Xenopus tropicalis: one gene and its partner. The protein of the gene in region 1 interacts with the protein of each later gene in a pairwise test. Links are inferred from orthologs where the notes say so. Each region holds a gene or a part of one and is shown in the gene's direction. Other genes may lie near its edges.

The links. The genes of interacting proteins can lie anywhere in the genome.
Region 2: the proteins of aida (region 1) and pinx1 interact in binary tests that used the Homo sapiens proteins (3 or more experiments, as listed by UniProt). The link is inferred for Xenopus tropicalis from reciprocal best matches to the Homo sapiens genes AIDA and PINX1.

Annotation. Positions count from the first base shown.
Region 1 is NC_030681.2:9,589,431-9,593,456, forward strand, and holds the start of aida (axin interactor, dorsalization-associated protein), read left to right. Parts: upstream 1-1,226; 5' UTR 1,227-1,315; coding exon of another isoform or gene 1,316-1,422; intron 1,423-4,026. UniProt on the Homo sapiens protein: Acts as a ventralizing factor during embryogenesis. Inhibits axin-mediated JNK activation by binding axin and disrupting axin homodimerization. This in turn antagonizes a Wnt/beta-catenin-independent dorsalization pathway activated by AXIN/JNK-signaling.
Region 2 is NC_030681.2:151,067,331-151,071,443, forward strand, and holds the start of pinx1 (PIN2/TERF1-interacting telomerase inhibitor 1), read left to right. Parts: upstream 1-1,313; 5' UTR 1,314-1,428; coding exon 1,429-1,447; intron 1,448-2,863; coding exon 2,864-2,973; intron 2,974-3,658; coding exon 3,659-3,751; intron 3,752-4,113. UniProt on the Homo sapiens protein: Microtubule-binding protein essential for faithful chromosome segregation. Mediates TRF1 and TERT accumulation in nucleolus and enhances TRF1 binding to telomeres. Inhibits telomerase activity. May inhibit cell proliferation and act as tumor suppressor.

The DNA of each region.
Region 1 (4,026 bases):
AAGTAATTGTAATTAAAAATCTGAGCTGTCAATCATATATTGCCTGCCCTGCCTCTATGCCTCCGGCATAGAGGCGGGGCAGGCAATATATGATTGACAGCTCAGATTTTTAAATACATTTATAACAGGTATGGATGATTTAATTAAAAAAAGAATTTGGGTTCCATGTTTAAATGGGCTTATTTATTAACACAGGAGACAAACATTGCCGATGATGTTTCCCAAAGCAACCAATCAGCAATTAGATTTCAATGGCCCCCTAGAAAACAAAAGCAAAGATCTGATTGGTTGTTATGGGCAACATCCCCAGTAATGCTAACCACTATTACTAAATACACCTCTTGGGGCTTATGTTATAAAAGGCACTAAGTTTGCCCAGGAGCAGTAACCTATAGCAACCATTAGTTGCTATGGGTTACTGCTCCTGGGCAAACTTAGTGCCTTTTATTACATATAGGGACATTTAACAATGTGTCCTTTGTAAAGCAGTATACCTACCCCCCAACTCACACCCTGTACCGTGGGGCCACATTCGTTGCTACCATAAACCCGGCCCTGTGTTGGGCTGGAAAGGCATTAGGTCAGGAGTAGGTTATACTCACCCCTAAGAAGCTGAGCGCAGCCGGCTGACTAAACCACTTCAGTGCCGCAAACTCTGCGCATATCCCCCTACCCAGCCGACTGTCACACGCTCGCTTCCGGGTTCTGACGCAGCAAGGTAAGCCCGCCCACTCACGCCCATAGGCGGAACAGACTAGGGACATTCCATCTGCGCATGCGTACACCTACACTCGGGAATCCCTCACTCTCCCTACTAGCGCGTCACTGAAATATAAAACTCCAAGCCATTTCGCCTTTATATAAGTCCCTCCCGTCAATCATCCCCTCACTGACCCCCGTCACCCATAAGATTACGTCATGCCATAGAGACTGCCAGTAGCTCATAAGCGTTCCGCAGCCTCTGAGGGTGAGGAAGTTACCTGGGTAACGACGCGACTCGGTTGAAACTATATATAAGTAGGCGTGGTTTCTAAAAACACTTTGCCCAATCAGCGCGAAGCAAAACAAAGGAGACCTTGCGTGTAGGCGTGGTTTAGGCTAGAAGCGAGGCTCGGTACGCAAATGGTAGTAAGGGAAGGGCTGGGCTGTGAGGGGCTTGGCCGCGGATGCAGGCTGCTGGGTTTTGGGTGGGGGTCAGGGGATCTGCTACTCTTGCAGCTGAATGGCACAGTGCGGCTGGCAGCGCCCGGGAAACATGCGGAGCTGAGCTGCCCCTCATCCCTTTCTGCCCCGGGAGGGGCGTCAGCTCCCAGCCATGACTGACCTGAACAAGATCCTGCACAAATGGAGCGCCAGCCTCAAGAAGGGCACTGACTTCGACTCATGGGGGCAGCTGGTGGAGGCCATTGATGAGTACCAGATGTAAGTGGCTTGGCTGGCAGCCTCACCCTTGGGCCGGGCATAGAGTGGGTAAACTAGCCTTAGGGTACCAGGAACCCCCCCCCCCCAGTCAGCAGCTGCAGAACCTCTTGGGATGGGCATAGAGTGGGTAAACTAGCCTTAGGGTACCAGGAACCCCCCCCCCCAGTCAGCAGCTGCAGAACCTCTTGGGCCGGGCATAGAGTGGGTAAACTAGCCTTAGGGTACCAGGAACCCCCCCCCCCCAGTCAGCAGCTGCAGAACCTCTTGGGCCGGCATAGAGTGGGTAAACTAGCCTTAGGGTACCAGGAACCCCCCCCCCCCAGTCAGCAGCTGCAGAACCTCTTGGGCCGGGCATAGAGTGGGTAAACTAGCCTTAGGGTACCAGGAACCCCCCCCCCAGTCAGCAGCTGCAGAACCTCTTGGGCCGGGCATAGAGTGGGTAAACTAGCCTTAGGGTACCAGGACCCCCCCCCAGTCAGCAGCTGCAGAACCTCTTGGGCCGGGCATAGAGTGGGTAAACTAGCCTTAGGGTACCAGGAAACCCCCCAGTCAGCAGCTGCAGAACCTCTTGGGCCGGGCATAGAGTGGGTAAACTAGCCTTAGGGTACCAGGAACCCCCCCCCCAGTCAGCAGCTGCAGAACCTCTTGGGCCGGGCATAGAGTGGGTAAACTAGCCTTAGGGTACCAGGAACCCCCCCCCCAGTCAGCAGCTGCAGAACCTCTTGGGCCGGCATAGAGTGGGTAAACTAGCCTTAGGGTACCAGGAACCCCCCCCCCAGTCAGCAGCTGCAGAACCTCTTGGGACGGGCATAGAGTGGGTAAACTAGCCTTAGGGTACCAGGAACCCCCCCCCCAGTCAGCAGCTTTAGAACCTCTTGGGACGGGCATAGAGTGGGTAAACTAGCCTTAGGGTACCAAGAACCCCCCCCCCAGTCAGCAGCTGCAGAACCTCTTGGGAAACAGTCCTGCCCATGACATGGTTATTCGGTATAGTGCCTCAGTAAGCTTGCCTGAGGGGGAATGCGCTGTTCCTATGTTGCAGGTATGCATAGTAAGTAATTGCCAAGTGGAGACACCTTCATGCAGTACCAGCTGTGGTGGAACTAGTGGTTACTTTGCCCCACAGCAACATTATTCTGGGACCCCTCAACTTTAGGAATATCTTTCTCATATACTGAAACTTCCTATCAATATCTACATTATAAATTGTGAGTGTTATAGTGTATATATACTGTATAGTGGGCCCGTTATAGTGTATATATACTGTATAGTGGGCCCGTTATAGTGTATATATACTGTATAGCGGGCCCGTTATAGTGTATATATACTGTATAGCGGGCCCGTTATAGTGTATATATACTGTATAGTGTGCCCGTTATAGTGTATATATACTGTATAGCGGGCCCGTTATAGTGTATATATACTGTATAGCGGGCCCGTTATAGTGTATATATACTGTATAGCGGGCCCGTTATAGTGTATATATACTGTATAGCGGGCCCGTTATAGTGTATATATACTGTATAGCGGGCCCGTTATAGTGCATATATACTGTATAGCGGGCCCGTTATAGTGTATATACTGTATAGCGGGCCCGTTATAGTGTATATATACTGTATAGCGGGCCCGTTATAGTGTATATATACTGTATAGCGGGCCCGTTATAGTGTATATAGACTGTATAGCGGGCCCGTTATAGTGTATATAGACTGTATAGCGGGCCCGTATAAGTGTATATAGACTGTATAGCGGGCCCGTTATAGTGTATATATACTGTATAGCGGGCCCGTTATAGTGTATATAGACTGTATAGTGGGCCCGTTATAGTGTATATAGACTGTATAGTGGGCCCGTTATAGTGTATATAGACTGTATAGTGGGCCCGTTATAGTGTATATAGACTGTATAGTGGGCCCGTTATAGTGTATATAGACTGTATAGTGGGCCCGTTATAGTGTATATAGACTGTATAGTGGGCCCATTGGCCGCAGTGACAGCAGCCCAGAGCAGAAAAGGGGGCTACGGGGGGCATTTTTGGGGGCACAGATCTTACCTGCTAAAGGGCTGTGGGGGCCTTGGGCTGGTACAGAATCCCAAAACTGCATTTTTAGCCTGTTCCAGACATATTGGATACCATATACTCCTTTGGGGGAGAATATAAAAGCACCCAATGCTGGGGCTGAGTGTCTAAGTTGCCCAGTGGGGCTGTACTACCAAAGTAGTTCCATTGGTGGCTAGCTTCTTGTTACAGTGTGAGCCAACTGTTTGCTGTGGGGACAGAGCTAACATGTGAAACTAAAACCTGGGGGTGTTATTACACAAGGCTCTTTCATTGGGCAATTGGAAAACAGGGACTTGCTGCTTCCTCGGGGGAGGCCATTGGCAACATTCTCCAGCAGCTGGCTGTAGCCATAAGGCAAAGCCGCAGTGCTTGCAGTGCCATTTTAATGCCCAAGGCTTTCTCTGACCTGGGCATGAAACCATAGAGAAGAACACACATTAGCTAAGGAATGCCCAGTCTGCCAACCTCCCCAGTGTTGCCAGAGGGCCACATCCCTGAAGTAGAAATGACAGAATTAGTTGCTGTAATGTGCTGGGAGTTTA
Region 2 (4,113 bases), about 140 Mb from region 1:
TGTAGAGCGACAACGACTCTGAATGGACACGTCTCTTATGGATCCTGTGGAAACAGAATGTTAAACCCTTACATAACTCAGGAAGCGCACCGGGGACTCAAGCCGCTCCGTCTTGGACATGGGCTGGGGAGATTGCTATGGAGCTCACCCATAGTAACTGTAATGAAGGTCCTGTTAACTTTCAACTTTAAATTAAAGTAACACTGACACGGGAAAACATGTTTGTTACAAACCCGTCAGTTAATAGAGCTTCTCCAGCAGAATCCTGCATTGTAATCTGTTTTTCCCATGGGGCTAGCCATATTCTTCATTTCCCAGGGTGCCACAGCCATGTGACCTGTGCTCTGATAAACTTCACTCACACTTTACTGCTGCGCTGCAAGTTGGAGTAATATCCCCCCTCCCCCACCCCTCCCCCCCAGCAGCCGATCAGCAGAACAATGGGAAGGGAGCAAGATAGCAGCTCCCAGTAGGTATCAGAATAGCACTCAATAGTAAGAAATCCAAGTCCGGCTTGGGACTCCTCCAGTTACATGGGAGTAGGAGAAACAATAGGTTAGCTGAAAGCAGTTCTAATGTGTAGCGCTGGCTGAAAGCTCAGACTCAGGCACACTTTACTGCTGCGCTGCAAGTTGGAGTGATATCCCCCCCCTCACCCCCAGCAGCCGATCAGCAGAACAATGGGAAGGGAGCAAGATAGCAGCTCCCAGTAGGTATCAGAATAGCACTCAATAGTAAGAAATCCAAGTCCGGCTTGGGACTCCTCCAGTTACATGGGAGTAGGAGAAACAATAGGTTAGCTGAAAGCAGTTCTAATGAGTAGCGCTGGCTGAAAGCTCAGACTCAGGCACAAGGCACTGAGATGGCGCCTACACACCAATATTACAGCTACAAATACATTTGTTGGTACAAGAATAAAAGGTTAAATGGCAGAGGGAATTATTTGCTGTGTAACAGTGTCATTTAGAGATACAAAGTGTCCCATAAATAACATGGCAGGGTCCCTTTGAAGGGGAAGTGGTGTAACGCACACACGGATACCCTATAGAAATGTGCACGTTTTATTGATATTCGCCTTTCTCATTTACCTCACGCTAGAGCAAAACAAACACCAAGCAGCCAAAAGGCGAATGTATAGAATCGGTTTATACCGATACAGACTGCAGAGGTTCAGTTTCACAGTCCCGCTATAACACTCCGCATTCTGCTCAATACTAGGGCTGTTACTGGGCGGCAGGAATATATATAGCGTTTACCAGTGGCCCCGCCCCTTTACTGGCGCTCACGTGACTAACAGCAGCTTCTGTGCCCGGCCTTACGTCATCAACACGCTGTGTCGCGGTCACTGTGACGCGGGATTATTTCCTTTTTCGCCCAGCTGTGCCCTGAGGAACATCTATCCCGGCAGTGCCCTCCAGCTCCGGGACCATGGCAATGCTGGCAGAGCGTAAGTGTGGCCCGGGGGCCTGCCATTAGCCTTGCACTCTGCCCCTTGCACTGCTGCAGCACCAAGTGTGTCAGTGGGGGGGCAGCCATGTGTCTTACACACCATGTGACTCTCTGTGTGGCTCCCCTGCTGCTGAACTACAACTCTTAGTAACACTGGGAATGCTGGGAGTTGTAGTTACTATGATTTCATTTCCCAGGGTGCCACAGCCATGTAACCTGTGCTCTGATAAACTTCAGTCTCACTTTACTGCTGCGCTGCAAGTTGGAGTGATATCCCCCCCACCAATGCTTTCTAACAGAAACAATCATTGTTGTGGCAACTTAAAGGGACCCTGCCATGATATTTATGGGGTACTTTTTATTTCTAAATGACACTGTTACACCGCAAATAATTCCCTCTGCCATTTAACCTTTTATTCTTAAACCAACAAATGTATTTGTAGCTGTAATATTGGTGTGTAGGCGCCATCTCAGTGCCTTGTGCCTGAGTCTGAGCTTTCAGCCAGCGCTACCCATTAGAACTGCCTTCAGCTAACCTATTGTTTCTCCTACTCCTATGTAACTGGAGGAGTCCCAAGCTGGACTTGGATTTCTTACTATTGAGTGCTATTCTGATACCTACTGGGAGCTGCTATTTTGCTCCCTTCCCATTGTTCTGCTGATCGGCTGCTGGGGGGGAGGGGGGGGGATATCACGCCAACTTGCAGCGCAGCAGTAAAGTGTGCCTGAGTCTGAGCTTTCAGCCAGCGCTACACATTAGAACTGCTTTCAGCTAACCTATTGTTTCTCCTACTCCCATGTAACTGGAGGAGTCCCAAGCCGGACTTGGATTTCTTACTATTGAGTGCTATTCTGATACCTACTGGGAGCTGCTATCTTGCTCCCTTCCCATTGTTCTGCTGATCGGCTGCTGGGGGTGAGGGGGGGGGATATCACTCCAACTTGCAGCGCAGCAGTAAAGTGTGCCTGAGTCTGAGCTTTCAGCCAGCGCTACACATTAGAACTGCTTTCAGCTAACCTATTGTTTCTCCTACTCCCATGTAACTGGAGGAGTCCAAAGCCGGACTTGGATTTCTTACTATTGAGTGCTATTCTGATACCTACTGGGAGCTGCTATCTTGCTCCCTTCCCATTGTTCTGCTGATCGGCTGCTGGGGGTGAGGGGGGGGGGGATATCACTCCAACTTGCAGCGCAGCAGTAAAGTGTGAGTGAAGTTTATCAGAGCACAGGTCACATGGCTGTGGCACCCTGGGAAATGAAGAATATGGCTAGCCCCATGGGAAAAACAGATTACAATGCAGGATTCTGCTGGAGAAGCTCTATTAACTGCTGGGTTTTGAAAAAAACATGTTTTCCCATAACAGTGTTACTTTAATGGCACATTTGGGGTATAACCTGCGCTGTTGCCTTTAGCCCGTAGGAAACAGAAATGGTCGGTAGACCCAAGAAACAGCGCCTGGAGTAAGGATGAGTCCAAATTTGGCCAGAAGATGCTGGAAAAGATGGGCTGGTCCAAAGGCAAGGTAGGTAGCTCTTTATACCGCCACAACTCGAGTCATCATGGTAACTTTATTAGCCATTTCTTTCACTCTGGGGGAGGGGCAACTTTTTGGGGATATGGAAATGTAAAAGAAATAAACGCTAAACACTGAACTTCTCTGGGATGATTTAGGTCAATAAGGGGGGTGGAGCCCTGGTCACAGTATAAACGCCCCCTATGTTAAAGGGGTGGTTCACCTTTAACTTAACTAAACTTTTATTATGTTATAGAATGGCCTATTCCTAGCAGCTTTGCAGTTGGTCTTCATTATTTTTTTTATCATTTTTGAATGATTTACTTTCTACTTCTACATCTTTCCAGCTTTCAAATGGGGGTCACTGACCCCGACAGATAAAAACGATTGCTCTGTGAGCTTACAATTTTATAATTTGGTTTTTTTTCTTTCTATTCAGTCCCTCTCCTATTAATATTCCAATCTCTTGTTTAAGCCACTGCCTGGTTGCTAAGGTAAACAAAACCCTAGCTACTAGATAGCAGCTGATATTCCAAATGGCAAGGCTGCTGAACAAAAAGTTAACTGAGAAACCAGAAATAATAAATGAAGACCGATTGCAAATTGTCTCTCATTATCACTGTGTACATCATATTAAGAGTTAATTTAAAGATGAACAACCACTTTAAAGTTTGTCTCTTTTTTTCTCTTATAGGGGCTGGGAGCTAAGGAACAAGGGAGCACAGACCACATCAAGGTGCAAGTAAAGAACAACACTCTGGGACTCGGAGCCTCTATCAACTATGAGGTAATGAACTGCCATAGTCATCTCATTCTGCTACATGCACTCTCTCTGCTCAGTATAGCGGCACTCAGGGAAATGGTCACAGTCAGTGCAACAAGCATCTCTGGTCTCTGGAGCAGTCTTACCATAGGCACAGGGAGAGAGAACCAAATCAAATAAGACAGGTCAGGACTGATACAGTCTCCCCCTAACTGGCCTTCAGGCTGGGCCCCCTTAGCCCATAACAAGGTTACAGATATATAGAAACATTGGGGTAACAGTCACCCCGCTATAGTTCCAGGGGTACCCAGGGCACAAATAAGCACTCACCCCAAATCCCCCCCCTAACTGGCCTTCAGGCTGGGCCCCCTTAGCCCATAACAAGG